2 linked regions of the Astyanax mexicanus genome follow. The protein of the gene in region 2 interacts with the protein of the main gene of each other region in a pairwise test. Links are inferred from orthologs where the notes say so. Each region holds a gene or a part of one and is shown on either strand. Other genes may lie near its edges.

The links.
Region 1: the proteins of fxr2 (region 2) and paf1 interact in binary tests that used the Homo sapiens proteins (3 or more experiments, as listed by UniProt). The two-hybrid records come from large-scale screens. The link is inferred for Astyanax mexicanus from reciprocal best matches to the Homo sapiens genes FXR2 and PAF1.

Annotation. Positions count from the first base shown.
Region 1 is NC_064425.1:7,496,878-7,500,633, reverse strand, and holds the start of paf1 (RNA polymerase II-associated factor 1 homolog), read right to left. Parts: upstream 2,816-3,756; 5' UTR 2,633-2,815; coding exon 2,586-2,632; intron 979-2,585; coding exon 949-978; intron 798-948; coding exon 705-797; intron 164-704; coding exon 42-163; intron 1-41. UniProt on the Homo sapiens protein: Component of the PAF1 complex (PAF1C) which has multiple functions during transcription by RNA polymerase II and is implicated in regulation of development and maintenance of embryonic stem cell pluripotency.
Region 2 is NC_064415.1:16,171,865-16,175,620, reverse strand, and holds the start of fxr2 (fragile X mental retardation syndrome-related protein 2), read right to left. Parts: upstream 2,453-3,756; 5' UTR 1,674-2,452; coding exon 1,623-1,673; intron 1-1,622. UniProt on the Homo sapiens protein: mRNA-binding protein that acts as a regulator of mRNAs translation and/or stability, and which is required for adult hippocampal neurogenesis. Specifically binds to AU-rich elements (AREs) in the 3'-UTR of target mRNAs.

The DNA.
Region 1 (3,756 bases), on a different chromosome or scaffold from region 2:
AAAAGACAGTGTGCTCCATGTTGTATGTATTAAGCACTTACTGTTGGGGTCTATGCGGTATGTGTCTGGGTTGATGAGATCGATGGTGACTCCCAGGTCTGGCTCTGTAAGCAGCTCATGTCTGTGCTGTTTTTCCAGTGAAGTGGCTTTATACTGCACAAACCTGCACCAAGACAAACCAGAGTCACTTATTCACACAGTTCAAACAGGATTACAATAAATATTTGTAAATTATTTTAGTTTTGAGCAATGTGGGCTGTCTTACAGATATATACCCACACACTCCTCTTTTCAGGTTGTTGAGTGTGGAATATGGAGCTAGACTAGCATCTATTTCTTCCATTAAAACTCTCAGCTGAAAAAGCCTTAAATCTGCTAAAAAAAAGACTATTATACAGTAAAACACTGTGCCAGGCACAGCACACTGGACAATATTTGTCCTCTTCCCAAAAATACAGGGAAATACTAGCTAGCATTTAAAAAAAGGTCAGAGTGCACCTGGCTCTTAAAGAGAATGACAAGTGACATGCTAATTGGTTTATTTCACATGACGCCCAAAACACCACCATGATTAATAAAGAGAATTTACTAAATGCCTTTATGCATTTCTAGTGGAGAGTGCCATAAATTTAACTTTAACATTAACATTGAGAAAATAAACCTTTAACTATCAAGTGTTAAAAAATAAAAAGACATTTCAGTACCTGTGCTGGTCAAAGGGGTATGTGATGAATTTTGGGTCAAATGGGATATCGGGGAGACTGTTGCAGTATTTGACGCGGCACACGACTCCGGACCTAAAGAAGTAAAAAAGGAAGAAGAAAACACAAACAATGCGTATAAAGAAAAATAATTCATTAAACTGTTACAAAAACCACAATTAATCCAATCTCAAGTTAAAGTCTAAAACAGTCCACAGAAGGTGAAGGGATACAAGTGATACAGTACCTTTCTGGAATGGCTCTGTGTGCAGAGCTCCTGTAAAAAGAAAAAGAACCTCTGAATAAGCATCTGGTTAACTCAGCAGTGTAATAAGGAAAGAAATATCAAACAAGTGTCAGGAAAACAAAATAAAAACTATTCTGAAGCTTGAAATTCTATGTATACTACACATGCTCAGATCTGAATCAGTCTAGAATTTTCACTCGACAATCATCTATCTATCTATCTATCTATCTATCTATCTATCTATCTATCTATCTATCTATCTATCGTTCTATCGTTCTATCGTTCTATCGTTCTATCGTCTCAGTCCCTCCAAAAAAGAAAAAAAGTGCAAAATCTTTAAGGCAAGAGGAATTACTTATTTTCAGGATGCACTGACGCATGTCAAAATACTGAAAAATAATTTGAGACATTTTATATTTATTTATTTATTTATATATATATATATATATATATATATATATATATATATATATATATATATATATATATATAAAAATATATATATATATATATATATAAAAAAAAAAAAAAAAAAAAAAAAAAAACGTTTGCCAATTGTGTAATATTCTAGATGGTATGGGCAATCGCAACATAATTAAGTTAATTCCTCAAAACAACAACTTAAGACCTCATAATAATGACTTAGTATCTCTAAATAAGTTAAAATCTTAAAATAACGACTTACTACCTCAAACTAACCACTTACTATCTTAAAATAACGACTTACTACCTCAAAATAACCAATAACTACCTTAAACTAACCACTTTCTATCTTAAAATAACGACTTACTACCTCAAAATAACTACTTACTACCTCAAAATAAACACTTACTACCTCAAAATAAACACTTACTACCTCAAAATAAACACTTACTAACTCAACATAGCGACTTACTAACTCAACATAGCGACTTACTAACTCAACATAGCGACTTACTAACTCAACATAGCGACTTACTAACTCAACATAGCGACTTACTAACTCAACATAGCGATTTACTAACTCAACATAGCGACTTACTAACTCAACATAACTAATGCCTCAAAAAACAACTTAGTAGCTCAAAATATAATAACTTAGGGTTACTATCTAAAAATAACCACTTATTATCTCAAAATAACATTTAACGTTACTATCTCAAAATAACGTTACTTATCTCACAATAACAACTTAACACATCAAAATAATGACTCAAAACAATGATTCTGTATCTGAAACTAATAAAAATTATATTTACTTAAGCTAAGTTGATTAATTTGATTAGAATTGTCACTGATAGAAAAAGACCTTTGCTAACATGCTAACTTAATGTTAATGCGTGTTAGCTATTTTGGTTAGCATAGCTTTAGCCAACATGCCAGCTACGAGTTTACAGATCCTTATTCAGGGTAAATAAAGGCAAATATGTAAAACAGCGTCATATTTATTAAACTTGTGAGATTAAGTATCTTAAAATAATGGTTTATTTTGTAACCGGTCAAACTAAATAAAGCCCGTTAGTGAAAATGCTTTTTAGCCTTTGAGTTAGCTTAGCTTAGCTTTGCTAGGTTAACTAGTTAGTTAGCTAGCATTAGCGTTAGCTTGTAAGCTAGGTTAGCTATCCAGCGGGCTCCCGGTCAATGCTGTAGCCGCTTACCGGTGTCCGTCCTCCCGCTGCGCTTGAGTCTGAATCGTCGGCGCCATTTCCACAAAAAAACTCCTTTCCTTAATCCGCTTCTCCTGTGTGTTTTAATAAAGTCTAAATCCTGTAAATAAAGAGAATAAATCAAAACCCGGGCTCTGTTTACAGTCTGCTATAGCTGATCCACAGCCACACACTCCTACAGGCCCCCTGTCTGATACCGGTGTTCTGCCGAGTTACGCTACCCGCCGATACGTGCTTCCTACAGCCAATGTGATTAACTACATTTTTAATATTTAATTTTCATGTTTTTATGATTATCATGTTATTTAGTTTTTAAGCATTAAACAACCCGGATCCACTGTCTTTACACTACACAAATGTGTAAACAAAAATGTAAATTAACAAAAGAAATATTTATTAAAAAATAATAATTTTCTAATGACCTATTATTACCATAACTTTTCCCTGATACAGTGATTTACTTTATCCAAAATAATACACAGACTTCTGCTGGGTGCATACTTTTAATGTTGTGTATCTTACCCTCAAATATACAGTAGGGTTGCACAGAACACCGACTGAACACATATTCTAGAGGTTTTCAATTTGGTAAAATCAAAGAAACTCATCGTTTTTAAGTGGTCTATTATTTTTATTTCTTTTTTTTTTTTTAAATATGTAGAAGTTTATTTTCACTTTACAATTACTGCCACGTTGTGTTGGTCTATTACACAAATGTATTTTATTAAGATTTTGGGATAAATGTAGAAAAGTGCAATGAATATTGAATATTTTTTCAAGGCACTATAGACTTTTCTTATTAAATGTGGAGATACAAGTTTTTAGAATGACTACAGTTGTGGATACTTCTACTTATATCCTATACATTTTTTATATTTAACACTATTGGTATTAATATTTTTGATATTTATTTTTTTCTTTTAATGCTTTTTGTCCAAATGTCGTAGATACTTATTTCATTATTTATCTGGAACTTTTAAACTGTTTTGTTGTTTAAGAATTCATTATTTTCACTTATTAAAAAAAAAAAGAATTCATTCTATTTAGATTTGATGATAACCTTTTATTTTCTAGATATTTCTATAAAATACTTTATAATACTTTATATAACATTTTCATTTTTAATAATCATTAAAAATGACAAAATTACATACTGTACTTT
Region 2 (3,756 bases):
TTGCATAGGGTCAATATTTACAGTCTATCTGAGCACAAGCACAACTTCCTGTTTACCCTAAGATTCAGATGAAAAGAAACAGTAAATGAGATGAAGAAAAGTCAGAAAGAAAAGTAAAGTGAAGCATTGAGAACAAATTGTTAAAAGATGGATAGAAAGAAAAGAGGGGGAAATCGGCAGCAAAAATGAGCCGCTCAAAAATAACTAAGTGTAGCTAAAAGTTACTTCCACTGATTGGAACTGAATTAAAAACAAGTGAACAGGGGGGATTCCACCAAGCAGTAGTGTGAGAGGGGGATGGAGAGAGAAAGACAGAGAGTGTTGAGTGTCAGGCCTGATATCACCTGTTCTTCTTCCACCTGCTCTGTTCCCTCAGTCAAACCTTCAGAGAACCATGGGTGTAAAACGTGTGCCACACCATTACTACTACTGCACACACGAAGCCTGTGACATAACCAGTCCAAAGATACACATGAGTATGATCTCTGTGCTTCCAGGAGGCCTGAAATGGAGAGCCAGTGCCAAACCATTGGATTAAGTGTGCTCCTTAAAGACACATCTGAAAGATATCATCATATATGAGGGTATCATTCTGAAAATATTCACTTCAGATCATAACTGACACTCATAGCCTACTACTTAAAGTGAGCAAACCTCATCACTTCAGTCTTAGCCTGGCTGACCTAAAATGACTTGATTCTGACTCAAACTAGGCCCACCCTACTGTGCTAGACTAGGACAACCAGCCAGTGTACAAAACAAGCAAATAAACAAAACCCTCATTGCTAACAGCTAGGCTACCTGACGCAGCTCTTTTCTTAAAAAGCTAACTACACCACTAACGACAACAAACACCTCTCTGACTTTCTTCACCAGACTGGACTGACCCAAAGCAAACTGACATGTGACCAGACATTCTGTGATCCTGAGACCACTGCTGATGGGTCACTCTCTCAGACTGCTAGAAGCTAGCTTTATTATTATTAAACTGGAGGAAAAACATCCAATAACAAGCCTTTCTGTCCTGAGACGACCTATGTAACATGGCAGAAACAGTTAGAAGGCGGTTTTGTTTTGTACCCACCTCACCTAGTTAGTTAGTTAGCTAGCAAATTAGCAAGTTAACTAACCTAACTAGCTAGCATGTAGTATTTCAGTGTTTGGATACTGAGGAAGAGGGAGAGGAGAAGAAAAATAAATTCGGGAGGAGTCCTGCCAAACCAAACCAACGTGCCCCACAATGGCTAACATAACCTAGATAGATAGCTGTTAGCAAGCTAGCCAGCCAAATCTGACCAGTGGAAACAAATGATAACACATAGGTTAGCAGATACAGGCCAGGAGCTGCTGAGATACATCACCATCATAATTATCATCATCGTTATTATCATCATGTTTTTCTTGTTTGGCCCTTCTTTAGAAGACTGTAAAACCAAACCTCGTGCCATTCATTTATGCATTTAGGGGCCTTCTTGGTTAGAGCTTAGAGTAGTGCAAGTAAGTGCATGTAGCTAGTTAGCTAGATAGCTAACCTAGGTGTCTCAGATGAAGCTGCAGACTCACACATTTGATTGAGGACAGCATGTTGGCTAGCTTAGCTGAGTGTGTTCCGGTCTATTTACCTTATAGAAGGCCCCGTTAGAGCCGCGAACCTCCACCGCCAGTCCGTCCATGTTTGCCGGCGCAGCGCCGCTTTGAGAGTCGGGAAGCACCCCCAGCTTCGCCGGCCCTCCGCCGCTCTCCGGCCGCTTGAGGATTTCCAGTGTTTCGGGTGGAGAGGCAGGGGGTAGAGATGATGGGTAGAGAGGGGGAGGCTGAGCAGCAGAAGGTTTGTTTGGGCAGAAAGACACCCACCCTCAATTGCTTTAACTAATAACTCTACAACCGCTAACTGGCGAACTAACCAGTTAGTTAACTAACTAATCTAACGGTCTTGTTAGCTAGAAGGCTATTTTACCGTTACAGGCTATCGCAATAGCTAGGTTAGCTAACTAGCTAGCTAGCTAGCTAGCTGTTATTCTACTCGGCTGTGTAGCCGGCCACGCTCCCCCCTTGCTGTGGCTGTGCTGGGGTGCTGAGGGTGATGGAGAGGCGGTGTTAGCTAGCTAGCTTTAGCTAGCATATTAACTCAACTAACTAGCTAACTAACTAAGTCAGCGGCTAATTAGCTAGCTAAGCTAGCTATAGCTTTCTTTCTATCACTAGGTTAAAGCTAACACCTCCTTCCTTAGTTACCGGGCTCTTATAGCGAACTTAGCGTAGTTACGCTACGCGGCATGTATCTGTGTTGTTGAGCAGTCTGGACTCTAACGGGCTCCAATCTTCCACACAGCAGCGCTATCAGCTTAAAAAAAATACCCCAAACCCGCTGTGCTCTGCTACCGCCCGGCAACTCCTTTAACCCCCGTTGCCCGTCCCCTCGAACGCACGCCGTCAGAGTGAAAATGCGAGAGTGTGAATGACCCCAAAATGCCCACCCCTACTACTGGAAAGCCCGCCCTCACTGGAGACTAAACCTTTTCATTGGTCAGGGCACGTATCCATCTAAAACTAAGTCCTTCCTCATTGGTGGAGATGCCGGAGGCCGGGTCAACACGAAGTCCAGTGCCTGCGCTGCTGATTGGTGGTAGTTTTTCTTTACTAAATTTAGGCGACTCTTTTCACTATCCACGCCAATTCACAAAAGCCTGTGTGTGCGACGTGTTTCTACTGCTGGGAAAAATAACAAACACGACCTATTTTAGACTGTTTGAGACTATTTATTTTTCATTATGCTCCTTTTCTTATTTTATAGAGATTCATTAAAAGATAAATGCAGCTGAACTGGCAGGTGAACTTGTAGTATTGCCATATGGCCTCATAAAGCCACTCGAACCTTATTTCCACAATGCTGAGGTACATAGCGAATTTGAGAAACACACTTTATTAGCTTAGCGTTTGTTTATTAGATTGGTTACATGGCTATATGGTCATAAATACACACTCCATTAACACGGTAATGGTACTGGACATGTAGTAAGTAACTTACACACTTCATTAACACGGTACTGGACATGTAGTAAGTACACTTTATTAACACGTTACTGGACATGTAGTAAGTACACACTTCATTAACATGGTACTGGACATGTAGTAAAGACACTTTAACACGATACTGGACATGTAGTAAGTACACACTTCATTAACACGATACTGGACATGTAGTAAGTACACACTTCATTAACACGGTACTGGACATGTAGTAAGTACACACTTCATTAACATGGTACTGGACATGTAGTAAACACACACTTTAACACGGTACTGGACATGTAGTAAGTGCCAAAGGTGTCACAATTCATTATGCAGCTATAAGTATAGATACTAGGGTTTAAAGCTGAATTTTGGAAGCTGAATTATGAAAGAATTGTAAAAGTTCTGGTTTTAAAACTGCTTAAAGTATAACATTAAGAACAAAAGCTTAAGCCACACCACTGGAAACTATAGTGCATAACCCCCTCCCAAAAAAAAAACATTTTTCTAAAAATCTTAATGACTATAATGTCATATTAAAATGTTTATGCTGAAAAATCTTGTAAAGTATGTAAAAATATAAATGCTAAAAGACGAAGATAAAGCTATCCGAACAATGTCAAGTTACAGAGTTTATTTCTTTAGTACTTGTTTTTAAGACTGGCTACATGGCTACGTGGTAATAAGGTGAGTAGCTCATGCTTTGGGATATACACTTTGAGGCAATTAGCTAGCATTGTACTG